Oryza sativa Japonica Group: one gene and its partners. The main gene of each other region encodes a partner of the protein of the gene in region 3 in a complex. Links are inferred from orthologs where the notes say so. Each region holds a gene or a part of one and is shown on either strand. Other genes may lie near its edges.

Evidence for each region. The genes of interacting proteins can lie anywhere in the genome.
Region 1: large ribosomal subunit protein uL4c (region 3) and large ribosomal subunit protein bL28c share a complex: the UniProt entries of both Arabidopsis thaliana proteins name them as parts of the 50S ribosomal subunit. The link is inferred for Oryza sativa Japonica Group from reciprocal best matches to the Arabidopsis thaliana genes RPL4 and PRPL28.
Region 2: large ribosomal subunit protein uL4c (region 3) and large ribosomal subunit protein uL29c share a complex: the UniProt entries of both Arabidopsis thaliana proteins name them as parts of the 50S ribosomal subunit. The link is inferred for Oryza sativa Japonica Group from reciprocal best matches to the Arabidopsis thaliana genes RPL4 and AT5G65220.
Region 4: large ribosomal subunit protein uL4c (region 3) and large ribosomal subunit protein cL37 share a complex: the UniProt entries of both Arabidopsis thaliana proteins name them as parts of the 50S ribosomal subunit. The link is inferred for Oryza sativa Japonica Group from reciprocal best matches to the Arabidopsis thaliana genes RPL4 and PSRP5.

What each region holds. Positions count from the first base shown.
Region 1 is NC_089039.1:104,682-108,835, forward strand, and holds large ribosomal subunit protein bL28c, read right to left. Parts: upstream 2,801-4,154; 5' UTR 2,758-2,800; coding exon 2,577-2,757; intron 962-2,576; coding exon 729-961; 3' UTR 412-728; downstream 1-411.
Region 2 is NC_089036.1:32,213,802-32,217,301, forward strand, and holds large ribosomal subunit protein uL29c, read left to right. Parts: upstream 1-1,254; 5' UTR 1,255-1,285; coding exon 1,286-1,639; intron 1,640-2,580; coding exon 2,581-2,724; 3' UTR 2,725-3,000; downstream 3,001-3,500.
Region 3 is NC_089037.1:8,801,399-8,808,003, forward strand, and holds large ribosomal subunit protein uL4c, read left to right. Parts: upstream 1-2,398; 5' UTR 2,399-2,466; coding exon 2,467-3,400; intron 3,401-4,560; coding exon 4,561-4,598; 3' UTR 4,599-4,815; downstream 4,816-6,605. Other genes in the region: peroxisomal nicotinamide adenine dinucleotide carrier, read left to right, coding at 233-301, 382-489, 801-869, 961-1,015, 1,194-1,396. UniProt on the Arabidopsis thaliana protein: This protein binds directly and specifically to 23S rRNA. May play a role in plastid transcriptional regulation.
Region 4 is NC_089035.1:9,871,216-9,874,296, forward strand, and holds large ribosomal subunit protein cL37, read left to right. Parts: upstream 1-1,253; 5' UTR 1,254-1,299; coding exon 1,300-1,408; intron 1,409-2,108; coding exon 2,109-2,431; 3' UTR 2,432-2,581; downstream 2,582-3,081.

The DNA of each region.
Region 1 (4,154 bases), on a different chromosome or scaffold from region 3:
CAGAGGTTGCGCGTGTGTGGAGCTGCCGGGTTGCTCCACGTCTACAACTCAACACCTTTTTCTCGTCTCTACATTTTTAGAGAGAAAAAAAACAACCTTCTAATTTTGTAGGGGTTCATTATTCATTTAGGCTCTTATTAAATATCAATAGCTAAAAAGGGGAATAAAACAATCCATCAATTTCAGCTATCTCAAACCAGACAGGCCATAGCAGTAGAACAATCAATATTGGCGTAGGAGTTCCTTTTGTACAAAACAAACAGCTTTTCAATTTTGTACAAGTTAATTCTTTCATTTAGGCTCTTATTAAATATCAATAGCCAAAAAGGAAATAAAATAATTAATCAATTTCAGCTTAGACTGGAAGACACTCTAAAGTGAAAAGCGCAAGATGCCAACTGCACGACCTGATGCTGCTCAAGTTACATCCATCCATCTTATAATTCGTAACCAACATACAGTATTAATTAGGAACTCGACCGAAATGAAACACTAGTAGCAAACAATTCGAGCCGGACTTGCAGCAGCAACACGGGATAAAAGGAAATTTAAGGAAACGAAGCCGGCCACCACCACCGATGAATGCATACTGTAGTACTCTACAATAAATTGCATCATCGAGATGAATGGATTTAATAATGGACTACATACAGCTCTGGTCTATTCAGCACAGCGGCAATTGATGAGAGAATACATGTATGTATGCATCATGATGATGATGATTTGATTTATTTCTTGTTGAGGTCGATGCCGGCCTTTTTGGCGACGGCGTCGAGGCCATGCTTCTCGATGGTCTTGAGGGCTTTGGTGGAGAGACGCAGCTTGACGAAGCGCTTGCCTTCCTCCCACCACAGCTTCTTGTACTGCAGGTTCACAAACTGCTGCTTCTTCGTCTTGTGGTTTGAGAAGGACACCTTGTTCGCCCTGTTGGTCTTCTTGTCCGTGAAGGGGCATATCCGGCCTGAGTCACCCACCCCCACATCATACAACAACATCACCATACACGCCATCTTGTTCCTACTACTACTAGTTTCTATAATTTGTGGCATCATGCAAACAAAAGATAAAGTATAATCTCACCCTTTTAAATTACTTGTCCTTAACTTTATCATAAGCCAAACATTTAATATCATAATATTTATGTGTTTATATATGCATCATGAAAAGTACCTTCATAATATATAGTACAATTAACATGTTGTTAAACTTTACAAATTTCTAGAAATTGATAAGTCACAATTATCTTTTTAAATAAGAAATTGATAGTTAAAGTTATGAATGGTTGACTTAGAATAAAACTAAAACTATAACTTGAAATGGCCAGAATAGTTATATTTTTTCTTTTCCCCCTTCTTTCTTATATACACTAGTAAGAAGAAGAAGCTCTGCTTATGTCTTAGAGAAACAAAGAGATGGTTGTCAGACATAAACAAGCAACCATTTCAAATATATTCTAAACAACCCTGTTAAATTTCACTTGGCGCAAGGATATTATTGGCCTTAAGTTAGTGGCGTGGAATCATCTCTTTCCACGCATTGCTAATATAGTGTTGTCACACGAGAAAGATGACTTTAAATTGAATCTAACACCTGATGGAAGATTCTTGGTTAAAACTCATTATCTTGCACATACAAGAGTTCCCAATTTTAACAAACATATCTAGAAGTTAAAAATCCCTCTCAAAGTGAAAATGTTTCTATCGTATTTATGTCGAGGGGTGGTGTTAACAAAAGATAACCTGGCTAAACGGAATTGAAAAGGGAATAAGACCTATTGTTTTTACCACAAGGAAGAAACGATAAAGCATTTATTTTTTGAATGTCGGCTAGCCCGATCAGTTTGGTCTTTAATCCAGATTGCATCGAACATTTCTTCACCTAGGAGTGTGTCACATATGTCTGGACAATGGAGTTTGCGACAAAACAAAGAGTCTAGGCCTCCTTTTCTACTAGGAGTTGACTTGTTGGGCTATTTGGCTATAAAGGAATGATGTGATTTTTGACAGGAAAATTGTTTCTTCTTCTTTGCAGGTTATTTTCTTGATCACACATTGGCTCCGATCATGGATTATTCTCAAGAAGCCAGATTACAGGGGTTTTGTCTGTTCGGCTTGTCTTCATTTGGAGCATGTGGTCAAGGTTTTTTTTTTTTACCCAGGCACATGAGCGGCAACCTAGTCTTCCGATATTAGGTCCTTAATCGTTGAGTTAGTTCTGTTTTTCTTGTTGTGTGGTATCTATTGGTTGTGCACTGACATGGTGCAAAGAACGACCAAATTCAATAAAGCTTCCATTCTCTTAAAAATACAAAGAAAGATCTGAGTTTATGGTAATAGATTGACAGCTAGTCTATTTTCGAGAGATTAAAGCAATCAATTACTAACAAATAGGTCATCTGGTTCTAGTAGTAGTATATATACAGTGGAGTATTGGATAGCGCAAAAAAAAAACGAAGGATAAAGTAACAACTTTAATAGTAGCAGAAATGACATTGGTGGTGTAATATAAAACTGTAATGTCAATCTGCGGGTGGATGGCTCGAAACAGAGAGAAGAAGGAGGAGGCAGATGACGTACGCGCGAGGATGGGGTGGAGCTTGGGACCGGCGGCGGAGGGCGCGGTGGTGGCTGCGGCGGAGAGGCCGAGGCTGAGGCCGGCGAGTTGCGAGGTGGCGAAGCCGAGAGAGGAAGAGGAGGAGGAAGTGCGAAGGAGCGGAGCCCTGGTGGCGGGCGTGAAGGAGCAGAGCATGGTCGCCATCGCCACTGGAGCCTGGAGGAAGAAGAAGAAGAAGAAGAGGATCAAGTCTTGTGCGGCTGCGGCGTGGCGTACAACTTGTTTCTCCTATCCTATCATAATCGTCTCTCTATGTACTGTGTGAGCAGGGGCCCATATATCGTAGTACTGTAGAAAAGGGCGGCCCAAGCCCAACTCTCATTACTACTAGTATTACTCACAGTGATAAGTCCACTTATTATCCCTTATTTTACGTCGAGTTTAATGGTATCTCTAAACCGCAATACCAGCAATCTTCACCCCCTCCCCCCCATTTTGGAAAAACCTTCCAAGTCAGTCTCATGGTATTATGGATGACTGGTTTCACTAACGTGGCATACCAATCAGAAAATTAAAATTTAAAGTGGACTTCCTCCCAACCTGTCCCCTCTCTTCCCCATCTCTCCACCTCCCCCCTCTCTTTCCCATCTCCTCCAGTGGGGAGAGGGGCGGCGGCCAGCGAGCCCATCCACGGGAGGTGGTAATGGTGGTGGGAGGTCAGTGATGAGGTGGCTCCAGTGGTCCACGACGGGGGAGAAGAGGAGGTAGGTGAGGGAGCCGGCGAGTTCGAGCTCATGAGCTATCTGCAGGAAAGCCCAGTCGTGTCAGGAGTGTGAGGAGCCGCGGGGATGGGAAGGGGGTGCTGCGGTGGTGGCGGCAAAACTTGAGCTCAAGCGGTAGTGATGAAGATGAGTACGCATGCGGAGGGTGACGTTGTTGATGGAGGTGTTGGGGAAGAAGCAAGTGAACTAGAGGGACAATGTCGTGTCGCACACCACCAACTCCCACACATTCTCGCGAGCATCCAAGATGGGGACAGTAGCAAAAGTCTGGCTCCCACTTCCAGATCCCCTTCGCATCAACCTCCATTCCAGATAGCACACTTCTACCCACTGGTCCACCTCCTCCTCTTCCTCATACTCCTCCACATCGCTCTTGGGCTCCTCCTCGTTGATGGCTTTTGAAGTGGAGACAGTGGAGCTCTCGGAGGAGACAGACCGGCATGCTCGCGACGACATCGCAACACCGGGTCGAGGTCGAGCCGGCCCCTACTTCTCTTTTCCGTCTTCAAGAACAGCCTCCTTGACTTCCGCCCACCCATCCCTCGCCGAAGGAGCTATCAAAGAGGTCACCCGAGAAGATGTGGAGTTGATTCTCTCCTCCTTGATGGCCAGGAAGACAGGAAGAGGACCCTCTCGCAGGCGGTGTGGAGGATTGTTGTCTGTCCTACCAGTGTTGGTGTGTGGTGGACCGACAAGGCTCCTCTAACTTAAGTCAAAGGGACATGCATCTCTAACATGTGGGCCTATAAAGGTGGGCCGCACCTGTCAAGGACTCATATCCTTCTAACTTTAAGTCAGAGGAGCTCCTTTCGTGGTGGA
Region 2 (3,500 bases), on a different chromosome or scaffold from region 3:
CTTTCTGTCATTGTGTATTCAGCTTGTTAATTTCTGCTTTACATCGTTGAAGTGTTTCTGGTTGCTAAATAGGACAAATTTTATACTTGTAGATATACAAATACACTTAATTGAACTTGATTAACATAATTCTGTACAGAGCACAGCTTAAGCAGGCAAAGGTGAACAGAGATGTAGTTAACATGCCTTGGTGCTGATGTGTGAAGGTGTTCCAGATGCTTGGTCTTCTGCTACCCTCAGCTGCACCACCCTCGTACTGTAAGTCAAGAAAGGCCAACTCTTCAGATTTCAGACAAAGACAAAACATGTTACAATGTGACAGTTAATTTTTGGCAACTCATTCATTCCTTGGTGCCAATCTGAGCATTATTCAGTAGCATCGTGTAACACGCAAAAATCAACGAAAACAACAAAAGAAATTCCTTCTTTTTTCTTAATTACAGGTGGAATTAATCAGCTGTGGTGTGAAACTGTGAACCCGTAGGGAAGCAGGGGAGGGAGCTCCCGCTCCTGCATGACGGCATCCGGCGGCGGTAGCACGGTCCTCAGCCACGCCCTTTGTTGCACGGCCAGTGGCCTCCGTCCGAGATCCCCTTGGTGCCGCGACTTGGGGAGAGAGGCGGTCGGCGAATCAAAAGGCAGAAGCGAAGACGGACGTAGCGATGCATGTGATTTCCTCCTCCCCATCCCCAAGCACGGCAACCGAACTCATCGCCCCATCCAGCGACGAGGTGGATCTATGCCACCGCCGCCGAACTTGAGGGGAAAGACGGCACAGAACGGCGCGCTGGCGCGTGGGAGGGTCAGCCTAGGGCGTCGGAGGGGCGGAGGTGGAGCTGGAGCGCGGGGAGGAGGAAGAGGCGGCGACATCGGCGTAGGAGGACAAGTCGACCTCCGACGAATGAGGCGGAGGAAGCGGGGGCGGGGGCGCCGGCGGAGAGAAGGGCATTGCAGGTTTGGTATAACTTTTTCAAAAAGACCCCTAAAACCTCACATATTACAACGAGGTCCACCGCAGCTATTCCACACCGTTGATCTGTGATCTGACGGCTGCGAGAGGGAGACGAAAGCTGGAATCGTGCAGCGCCACGTGGAGGGGTTATTTGCACGCGAATCCGCGTAGATTTCGATATTTAGAGATGTGACATGCATATTAAGCAAGTGAAAGCCGTCCGATAATGCTTGAAGATTCGTGCCCCGAGTGGCTAATCAACATGACCAGATAAACCCCCTTATCCACGAACCCCGACCGGCAGAGAGCGCAGACGCGAGCGCAGCGCAAAAGATGGCGACGATGTCCCTCGCCGCGGCGTCCCCCCTCGCCTCGACTCCCCGTGGGCTCGCCGTCTCCACTCCCCGCACGGCCTTCCTCGGCCTCCTGACCGGAGGGGCGTCGCTGGCGCCGTTCCCGGGACTGGCGGCGGCGGCGGCGCCGCCGCGGCTGCCAGCGGGGAGGGGCGACGCGGCCGTGGCCAGGATGGCGAAGAGGGAGCAGGAGCTGGAGGAGATTCGGGCCATGCCGACGGAGAAGATCGAGGAGGAAGTGGTGGACCTGAAGGGGGAGCTCTTCATGCTCCGCCTCAAGCGCTCCGCGCGCCAGGAGTTCAAATCCAGCGAGTTCGGCCGCATGCGCAAGAGGGTATGTCTCTTACTCCATGGGGTACAGATATACCACAACTGCTAATTCCATTGCGAAAGTTTAGCATTTACTCCTGGCCAAAATGCGTTCAACCTACGAGTGGAAATTCCACCTTCTACTTCCAAATGGGTGTGGAGTGGTCGCATGTTCTGCTCAGTGTGTTCTGTTTACAAGGCCCTTTTGTTCAACCTCTAGTACTGAGTTGATTATGTTCAGATATATTGAGTTGATTTCAGGTTCAGAATAGTGGAATAACTTACCAATTTGTTGGTGGAATTTTGCCTGATTTTTATCAGTTGCATATTGGCCCATACTGAATTTACAGATGATTTGGGTTAATGCTTGGACAATTTCAGTCTCAGAAGCAATTTTTTTTTACTTAATTTGATTAGAAAGTCATGCTGACATCCATTTACGTATTCTTACATAGTATCTACTTTGGGTTTGTAGTATTGTTTATTGGATTTTAGTGCATAGAGTACTACATGAAGAATGATATTGCAATGCAATGTGTATCTGAAGAGCTTTTATACTGTTCTTGGGAAAGTAGTGTTAAATTAACCTTCAGTGGACCAAAATTTAAAATGGAACAAAACTTTGTTCTGAGGACGTCAAAATGCAGATAGTACACAAGAACTAATTCTACGGTCAGTTATGTGATACCTTGTTCTTCTTGAGGGCTTCTGATAAGTCAATTGTTATGAATTATCACTTGCTTTGGAGTTCAGGTCTCCACCTCTGCTCAGGGACAGCACAGGACAAATAGTTAGCAGCAGAGTAATGCATACTTATATCTGCCTCGATCAATGCTTCTTGCCTTTTAGGAGGAGGATATCAGATTTTTTTTTCCTGTTGTTTTTCTCACCCTGCTCATCTTGCTTCAATAGCAGCTTTCTACTATCTAAATTTAGCATTGACTTGGGTTGTCATCTTCGCATCAGATTGCTCGTATGCTGACTGTCAAAAGAGAACGGGAAATTGAACAAGGAATCAACAAGAGATTGTCTAGGAAGCTTGACAGGAAATGGAAGCAAAGCATCGTGGTTAGACCACCACCATCTCTAAGGGAGAACAAGGAGGAATAGAGAGCCACAAAAGCAGACAGTCTGTAGAAGTCATTTCATGCATGTCTTGAAGGAAGGTTTCTTTCTCCCTGTGGTTTCATTCCTTATAATGGATTGATATGTAATTCACATTAACTGATTTCCAAGTCCTTGCTGTCAAAACCAAAAGTTCTATTACCAATTCCATTTGTGTAAATTTCAGTTTATTCAAAATGTGTTGTCCATATATGCACTTATATTACTGATATATGAAACTGTGCTTAACGAGTGTATGCTATACACTTGTTGAAACTCAAACTGCCTATTCAAATTCACCTGTCACAAAGTTGTGGGTACGTACATACTATAAGAGGCAGATATGCAGAGTTCTAAAGAAGTGTCTCTGGAATACGGAGTAACAAAAACAAGAGAATTAGGCCATGTCTATAATAGTTCGCTTGGAATTTTGGTGCCCTGCTTTGCTCCAAACTCAAGTTCACTGTTTTATCAAACGTTTCAAAACTGTACAACTGTCTCCAAGCCCACGTTCTTGTGGCTTGTTGTGTCGGTCACCTAGATTTATGTTATTGTTCAACACTGATTTATGCTTAAACTAGCTCTGTTAGACTGTCCTAAAGCATGTTGGGCTTTCCCCTTCTACTCTAGCTTTAGAGTATGCTGCAGGTATCTCTGCACAGAGCTAGGGAGCCATCCTAGATCCATCATCAGTTTCATAAGCAAGCCCAGGTGGCTTGGCCCTTCAGCCAAAACTTGTTATTCTGATCTCTTCAACAGATCTTAACTTGAGATGTAGAGAG
Region 3 (6,605 bases):
CTGTTCTTATATGGAAAAAAGGCCTCATTTAGTTTTTCCTAGGCCTCATCCCAGTTCCTAAACTGTTAGCTCAGCTTTTTTTTTTTGTCCCTAAACTGCGGATAAAACCCATCCTTCATCTCTGAAAACCAAGTAAAACTTGTCCTCCTAAGTACTTCATATAGTCAATATGCAAGTGCTAATGATTCAGACTTTGTTTGGGGCATGGTTGATTGACTCCGTTTGGCTGCAGATTCAGGACCTTTACAAAGAAGCTGGATTTTTGGGCTTCTGGAAAGGTGTAGTTCCAGCTCTTATTATGGTAAGTCTTATGTCGCATTTTCTTTTGCTAAGTTATTTCTTTTTTACAAGTTATTGTTTCCATGTTTCATCTGTCATCAGGTTAGCAACCCTGCAATCCAATTCATGTTGTACGAGACTCTTTTGAAGAAGTTGAAAAAGAGACGTGCCTCTAATTTGAAGGGAGCTGATGGACTGACTGCTCTTGAAGTAAGCTTTTGGCTTTTGGCTTTTCTGGTGACTGGGATCATTGTACAGATTTATTAGGATATAACCAATTTGCATCATGCTAACTTGCTGCATTGGGGCCTGAATCTACCCGTAACGCTGACTTGAAAGTTTGTTCTTCTAGTAACGATGTTTCATGTCCAGTAATTATATGTTGCATGTCTTAACTTCATTTACCATGATGATTTGCTGAAAACACTAGTATTTCTTATATGCTCCTAATACTACTATTTCTTTGTTAGTTAGCTATGTTATAGACCGTCTTCATCTCACGCTGTAAAATCCTTGTTCAGATTTTCCTTCTTGGTGCTGTTGCCAAACTGGGTGCGACTGTTGTTACATATCCTCTTCTAGTTGTGAAGGTGATTATTTGAACACCAGTTACAGCAGCAGCCGTTTCTGTGCACAATTGAGCAGACATGTCAAGTTAAACCATGTTTTTTTTTTCTACAGGCAAGACTTCAGGTGAAGCAAATAATTGATGATGACAAGAGGCACCGCTACAAAGGTACATCGCTGGCCTTTATTCTTTAAACTTCATTTTATTATTTAGAGTGAATTATTATTTAATGAGTGATGTTGCTCCATATCCTGTTTCTGATAGTCTTTACTTCTCTTCTGGTAATAATATTTGCTGTTCTCTGACTTTGTTACCAAATACGCTATGCAAATTTTATTGCTTGCAGGCACATTTGATGCGATCACAAAGATGATACGTTATGAAGGTTTGTCAGGGCTTTATAAAGGAATGAGCACAAAAATCGTACAAAGTGTTTTTGCTTCTGCTCTCCTTTTTATGATTAAGGAGGAACTGGTGAAGGGCGCTCGATTATTGGTAACCGGCAACACCAGCCTTGTTAAGAAGTTACCATCGAAGCCATTAAGATGATCTAGGTTGTACAAGAGTTAGTTCCCTACTTATACCACAATTGTTTCCATAAAGCGATGGACAGAGTTGCCAAGCGCCCCTGTTAGGAGATATCAAGTTATCTGTGAGACTCTGATCGACTGTAGGCTCTCCAAAAAAAGGAGATTAAAGATGTAGTACAATTACCACTGTGATTCTTGTAGGAACCAATAATGATGGTATATATTGGGTAGGCTATCTCTGTTGCTCGTGTAAAGTATACTGTTATGGAAGATTGAAACACTAGAAAATAAGTTGGCAATGAGAATCGCAAGCGCTAGTCATCTGTTCAGATTACTTGAGTTTCTTTAGCTTGTTTGTTAGAGCTAACCGAGAAGAGGATCGCAATCGTGAAAACTTCGCAAGTGTTCAGAACAAAAGTAGAAGTAGAAAATTTGGAGTTCCTGTCCATTTTTAGCATAACTGTGTCTATGGTGCGCCCCATCTGTCAATGTGGTTCTCAGGCAACTGTTCTGATACACAAGTGCTAATGAGCAATCTGACCCGACAAAAAGGAAATGAAATTTAATTTGATTATTTCAAACTCATTTTGGTGAAACTAAGCCTCCTTCTTTACTAAGATGCAAATTCTTCCTAACACATTTTTTAAACTGCTAAATGGTATGTTTCATATGAATTTTTTACATAAAAATATTTTAAAATATCAAATAAATCAATTTCAAGTTTAAAATAATCAAAACTTAATTAAACATAAGCTAATGGGCCGTTTTCATTTTGCTTTCCTATTTTATTTCATCTTTATTAGAAAAAAAACACCATCTAATAGACTAATACTGCCTCGAGGGTTTTTCTTTAACAATATCTAAGTTTTTTTAATGAAGAGATGCTTCTTCTAAAATCCAAACACATAGTAGTGTGTGTATCTTACTGGTCTGGCGCGACCGACTAAGCTGACACTCGCGAGAGTGTGGCCGGTCCGGTCGGGTGGGGGTGGATAAGGAGATAGAGAAGCGGCCGCTCCGCAGCTGCAGCGGCAAAGCCTCCCCGTCGTCCAGCCCACGCAGCGCACCGCAGCGAGCGAAGCCGCCGCAATGGCCGCCTCCTCCGTGGCCTCGACTCTCCTCCTCTCGCTCTCCTCTTCCTCCTCGCCCTTCCTCTCCCCCACCTCGGTCTCCTTCCTCCCATCCGCCGCCGCCGCCGCCTCCTCCTCCCCGCGCGTCGCCGTCGCCGCCGGCAAGCAGAAGGCGGCTATCTCCGTCCTCCGCGCCCTTCGCGCCGAGGCGGCCACCCTCCCGGTTCTCTCCTTCACCGGGGAGAAGGTCGGGGAGGTCGCCCTCGACCTCAAGTCGGCGCCGCCCTCCACCGCGCGCGCCGTCGTGCACCGCGCCATCATCACCGACCGCCAGAACAAGCGCCGCGGCACGGCCTCCACGCTCACCCGCGGCGAGGTCAGGGGAGGCGGCAGGAAGCCCTACCAGCAGAAGAAGACGGGGAAGGCGCGGCGCGGGTCGATGCGCACGCCGCTCCGCCCCGGCGGCGGCGTCATATTCGGGCCCAAGCCCCGCGACTGGTCCATCAAGATCAACCGCAAGGAGAAGCGCCTCGCCATCTCCACCGCGCTCGCCAGTGCCGCCGTGGCCGACGATGCATTCGTCGTGGAGGAGTTCGACGAGGAGTTCGCCGCGGGTCCCAAGACCAGGGACTTCGTGGCCGCGCTTCAGCGGTGGGGGCTCGACCCCAAGGAGAAGGCCATGTTCTTCGCCACGGATTTTGCAGACAATGTGCGGCTCAGCGGAAGGAACATTGGCTCCCTCAAGATGCTAACCCCCAGGACTCTCAACCTATACGACATCCTCGATGCCCGCAAGCTCTTCTTCACCCCGGCCGCCATTAACTATCTCAACTCCAGGTATGGTGCCACCGTTTTTGATGAATATGAGGATGATACCAATGGCGAGGATGATGGTGAGGAGGAAGCAGAGGAGTTGCAAGAAGGAGAAGGGAGCGCAGAGGAGGCTGCTCAAGGTACATAGCTATGCATGAACAATTTCCAGGTGTCTTTTTATTGTTTCTATGGTGGGCATGTGCGAAATGACTTTGAGTAACTAATGCTATCCAGTGATCCTTTATTTTACATGTTTTAGTTGATAGTTAGGAGAGAAAATGCTCTGCTTTAATGGCATGTACAGTAGTTTTTTTTTTTATCTTTTAACTCTTAGCTATGCTCTGTTGTAAATATCATGATCGATGCTATACGTATGCTGATAAAGATCCTGACATGCGTTTTAAGGGTAAAAACAAGATAACGTGGCAAAGAAACAGAAAATGTAGCCAGTTTTGTCTTATGAATACCATCTTAATTATTATGGAGAAATTCTTTGTGGCCTTGTAGACTTATGGAGCTAATTTTTTTTTCGAAATAGTTCTCTTATCCTTACCAGCATGCAAAAGGAAAAATGCTTACCATGCTAATGTACATCGTATGGTTTTTTTTCCTCCTGAAAGATCCAATAAGTCCATGACATAATTCAATGGTCTATTTTAGAAGCATGCTTAGAGATCCACCTACCCCTATGCTAGCTCTCAGTAGACCCACTGAGTCTGTATTTTACTCGTTATTTTGCACCTCCTTAGGGTTTTTATTCAGAGCTCATGAGCAACTCAACAATTTGCGAATAGAAAATGACTTCACCTAATGGTGGTTAAATTTTCGGCTGAAGGTGGATTAAGTCCTAAGCACTAAACTAAAAAATAAGAAGAAATGAGACTGCATGGAATCCATGAACACCACTGAACCAGAACTCTGGGGATACTGGTACACTCCTTATAATAGTGTCACAATCTGCTGTGCCACACAGCTACCCCTATCACCTATCACTTGAAACATTGTCAGCCATTGGCACTGTCATCATTCACTTCAAAGATGTTCTGTTAGACCTTAGAACCATCTTAATAAAGTAGTTAGCTGTGAATATGCTGGTTTAAGTTGCTTTAGAGGTAAAACCTAGTTAAACACATGTTTTCTCCATCACTCAAGCACTTCCTTTTCGTAAATACTATGCATAGCTACAGGACTAAGTTATTATTAATTGACATTCAGTTCTCTGTTACATTTTGGTGCTGCATATTATAACTTTCTCTTATTTTGAGCATTTCTCAGGAACTTCTTTTTGTATGACTTTCAGATGAGGCTGCAGAGACTGAGGCTGATAGCAATTCCTAGGGAAGGAGGTGTAGATCGCGTGTTTTTCGTTTGTTGGTCTGGTAATTGCTTCCCTGATGCAGAAGCTTTTTGGCTTACTTTTGTTGTAAGTTTATAATGTTTTTTTTTCACTGATGCAGTATATTAGATCTTCAAACTGCACATATATTTTCAAATACAATGTCGTGTCAACCACTGCATATTTTTCTTCCAATTTTATACAGAAAGTGCTTCCCAATCTTGCTTCAAAAAACCAGTGTTGACCTGCTGGTTACCACTAATTTTCTACTCCCTCCGTTTCATATTATAAATCATTTTGACTTTTTTTTCCTAGTCAAACTTATTTAATTTTGACCAAAATGATAGAAAAAATAATAACATTTTTAACACAAAACAAACATGTTATCAAAAATATATTCAAAGTTACATTTAATAAAACTAGTTTGGTATTATAAATGTTACCATTTTTTTTCTATATACTTAGTCAAACGTACAGAAGTTTGACTCCGAAAAAAGTCAAAACGACTTATAATATAAAATGGAGAGAGTAACATCTTGAGTAGGGGTATGATTACAAAATCTTGTCTCCTTAAATTGTTGAATTGTTCCTTGTTATGACTAACTTTTTCGCTGGGTGAGCTCTAACAAGTAACAACTAACAAGTCTTTTCAGAGGACTTGCTGCATTTTACAATGTGGAAAGTAGCCTAGCTCAACTTGGACATGGAGCACTGGAGCAGCATAGCCCGGGTTAGATGCTGATCTTGAAACTCTAAGCCCAGATCAGTCGTAAACAACAGACCATTTTGCTCAGGTTTACTTGTAGATCACCTGAGGGTTTAGTGAACCAACCCTCTGCTTATGCCTAACCATAATGATTCCATCATTTTTCTTTCTTACCTGGGTCATGCAAGAAGAGTTGTTGGGCCATCCTTAAGTCCACCCAGACAACTTTGGACCAGATCATCACCTTTCTAATTGTTCTGACATTGCACTACAAGTGGATTATGGGCTTATGGGCAAAGCTGCGTCTGTACTTTAGAAAGGTGCAAGATCTGGTCTTTTGCTATGTCTAGTATTTTATGTCATTTTTAGCTGGTGCTATCGGTAGAATTTACTTATAGTTTGCTCTGTCTTACTCTGCTTTCAACAATATCTAAAGAAATCATTTGTGAGATTGTGACTGACATAATAGTGCTGTATCTATGAACCGAAAAGGGAAGAGTCTTGCTTAGGTTGAGCCAGCTTCTTTGGCACTATCTTTTAAACTTTTTGGTGGGCAAAAAGCTATCCATATTATACTAGCCCACTATGCATAAAAGGCATACAAATTATGGGGATGGACCTGAGCACATAATTTCACTCTCTTTTTTTTTTCTTGAGACTGGCCATTGATTGGTTCTAGTTTGGAATATTGGATCGATTGACTATAACTGTTTCCGTCCCTACATGTTAGGTCTGCATTATGCTCCTTGGAAGGAATCATTAGAAAGAAAACTTACCACTACACTAAATGTCACTCACCGTATTAAGTTCTGTGCAAATATGCAGCAGAATTCTATTGTGCCACTGGCTGCTGTTGTGCAACTGAATTTACTGGGTGGGATTCTTAAACTAAAAATATACCAGATCATCTCAGAGTCTCCGGAAGTAACAGGAAAAACGGTTGATTCATCCTTCAGGCTACTGTTAGGACACGAAAACACCAGTGGAAGAAATAAGTTAGCATGATGGTATAAATCTTAGACATTATCGTCGTTGTCGGTTGCTTTTCGGCGTGTTGGTCTGATCTCCTTCGGAGCTCTTTTATCATCCGTGTCGTAAAGTTTGCACACGTCGCTGTCGATTAGTCCATCCACAGCTTTGTGGCCAATGGGCCAAGTTACTTTGCTCCGATTCATAGTGCTTTGTGGTTGTTTGACCCAAAAGCTTTACAGTCCATCTTTTCATTTATATTTATACTTATTAGCTAAAATTTAAATTTTTAACTTTAAATTTAAAGTTGATTTAAAGGTATTTTTATCGTAGT
Region 4 (3,081 bases), on a different chromosome or scaffold from region 3:
GGTCATCCTAGTTGCAATCGCCGATAGGTTGATGTCGAGTAGCCATTGGCCAGATTTGGTGGCCTACTGTAGAGTTCTGTTTTTCTTCCAGAAAGTCGCTTAGACCAGAGGGGCCAACTTCCTTAAGCCTTCTCCCTTGCAACCAAGCAAAGTCCCAGAATTTCGCTTTTGTACCATCTCCAACTGTCGTCGTCGTTCCCACAAAGAGGAGTTTGCCAATGTTGTCGCAAGGCGTCTCCGACCCCACTCAAAGCTTTCTTAGATAAACAATGTAGCAATCAGTGGCGCTTGGCGAGCCCATGGTTCAATTTTTCGTTTTCAGTATTTGTATTGGGGTGCTGATATACCGAAATTTGGTCCAGAATTATTTGAATTTTCGAACAAAATTTGGTCAAATTTGAATAAATATTACTAAATTCACACAAAAGAATAAAAAAAACTTTGGTCGAACCGGAAATTTGAACCCTGCGAGCCAGCCTGCGAGACTTGTCGTAGATTCTGTAAATCTTCTCTGACACTGATACAACGATGGCTCGTGCATCATCCTCATCCTCCTCTCCGGCAGCATTGATGTCCATGTCGAAGCTACGCTCGGCTGGAGGATCTCTGCACGCTCCATAATCTTGATGGGTGTCCGCGAGCTGAAGGAGCAGAAGCTTCCATCCCCAATGGCGCACGAGAGCTGACGACCCGGATCAACCATTGGCAGCAGCTCCTGTACAGACACCTCCTCGTCCTCGATGCTGAAACTGCTCTACGCCGGCGACGGCGACGGCGACGGCGACGACGAGGAGGAGACATTCTTGATGCGGTACACGGCGGCGCCGGCGCGTGCTTCGGCTTGGAGTGGGAGACGAAGAGGTTGTCGCTAGCTGCTCTTCTCATCACCGATGGGCACCCGCTTGGCCGTCGAACGGGAGGTTCTTGTCGTCGGCGAGCTCCCCCACCTCTTGCTATCCACGTCGAACGCAGGATGTGGCGGCCGGCGGCGGCGTAGGACGCGACGGCGAGCGCGGCCGGGCGGAGGGGACGCCGCCGATGCGGATTGTCGCCGCCACCCGCGGCGGCGGCGGAGGCGGCGAGAGGAGAAAAAGAAAATCAAAATCAAAATTTCTCTCCACCTATGACATGTGGGCCAACTGCCAAGCAGCCTTACTTGACGGAGATTAAATCTGGCCGTTGATTCTCCATCGGACGGCGGAGCGCTCACAGCAGCACAGGCTTATCTCCTCCCTCCGGGCTGATGGGTGGATAGGCTGACGACGGGCCAAGAAGCCGAATCCCACACTGCCCGTGGCCATGGCGCTGCTCCTCTCCCCGACCGTCTCCTTCCTCGCCTCCTCCTCCGCCTCCCCGCCTCGCGCCAGAGCTCTCCCCGCCTCCGCCAATGTCGCCTCCACCATCCCCGGTAACCTCCGTGAACGCCTTCTCCGTACCGGGACTTTTGCGCATAAGTTACTCGGGTTGTGGGGTGTTGGTTCTTGGATTGGATTATGCTGAGTGGGTACGAGGCTATCCATTGTTGTGAGGTGTGATTTGTAATTCGGTGGGAGGATTGGTCTAGATATTTGACGTTGGTGATTCGTGGCGTTTCTGATTCTCTGGGATGCGGTTGGCTCGTTAGGGAATTTCTTCAAACACGTCGTGTGCAGATGCAGTAATTCGTGGGAGATTCCGTGCATTTATCATCTCTGTACAAAGCTAGGTATAATTCATCTCAGTGAACTCTGCAGATTCTCGAAGCTTTGGTTCTTTCGTGCTTAAATGATAATATCAGATGCTATGTAAGCACCGGTCACTGGCAAAGGGTGACATTCGTAGTACACCCTACATTTGGGGCCTGATTGTTAATAGATGAGTAGATTTTACATATCTGTGCTCTGCTAAGATTCATCATAATATGTAATTGAGAACACTAGGATTGTTACTAGTTATTGTACTATATACTATCCATGAAGTGGCACACATGAGCTAGACTTATTAGCTTTCAAGTTTCTTATATGACGGAGATTCTATCAAAATTTTGAAAGTAGCATGCATGTACTCTGAATTCTATATCTAAAATGATGCACATTGAGGCTTGCCATTTGTCCTTTCTGATGCTACAGCCCCAAGGCTCCAGTGCAAGAATCTCTCCTCGCAGAGCCCTCTGAATGCTTCTTTCACCAAGAAGAGGCTAGTTTCTGTCCATGCCTCGGCAGAGGCTGGCGCAGAAGAAGCTGGCACAGATCAACCAGAGGAGCCAAAACCCACGGTTTCGATTGAGACAATGCCGCTCGAAACTAAGCAGAAGATGATCATGGAGCAGAGGGCGAAGATGAAGCTGGCCAAGAAGCTGAGGCAGCGGCGCAGGAGGCTTGTCCAGAAGAGGCGGCTGAGGAAGAAAGGTAGATGGCCACCATCCAAGATGAAGAAGCTCAAGAACGTCTAACCAGCAGTGATGTCGGTCGCTGTTCTTCTGTACACCTCTATGTTCTGTTCATCCGTCTCTGTATTTCCTAAGCTGATGCCCAGCGAATTTTGCTGTTCAAAATATGAAACACAATGTTTGCAAAATGTGATTATTTCTTTCCCGATGAAATTTCATCTTGTATTTTTTAGATAATGGATAAACCGGTCACCGTTAAAAACACACAAAGCCCAGTACTGAACAAATTTTCTTCTAACATGTCCCTCCTTTTTCTCCTTTAGGCTTTAGCTGTCCTACAGAAGTACCACTAAATCTAATGTGTGTTCCCATAGTGGAAATATCATATGCACCTTGATGCCTTCTGTGTTTGTCAAAAACTCAAAATCATAGCAAATTTCAAGAAGCCTTGCTGTGCTGCACTCTATATTTGTGAGGTATTTGCCTGTATATACACTTCCATGATGTGTTTTGTTAGGGCCTCTCACAACTCTTTCGTCTGACCTGATGTTGATTAAAGCACAAAGGATCAACCTGGACAAGGAAATAACTGGAGCAAATTCGGGTTTGTTTGTTGTTTGCCACTTTGTCAGGCACGATGTGAACAATCTGAAGAGTGCCATTTTCGATTTTTTTTCTGATGCCCTTCCTGTTGATGTGGTTGTAAAATTTAT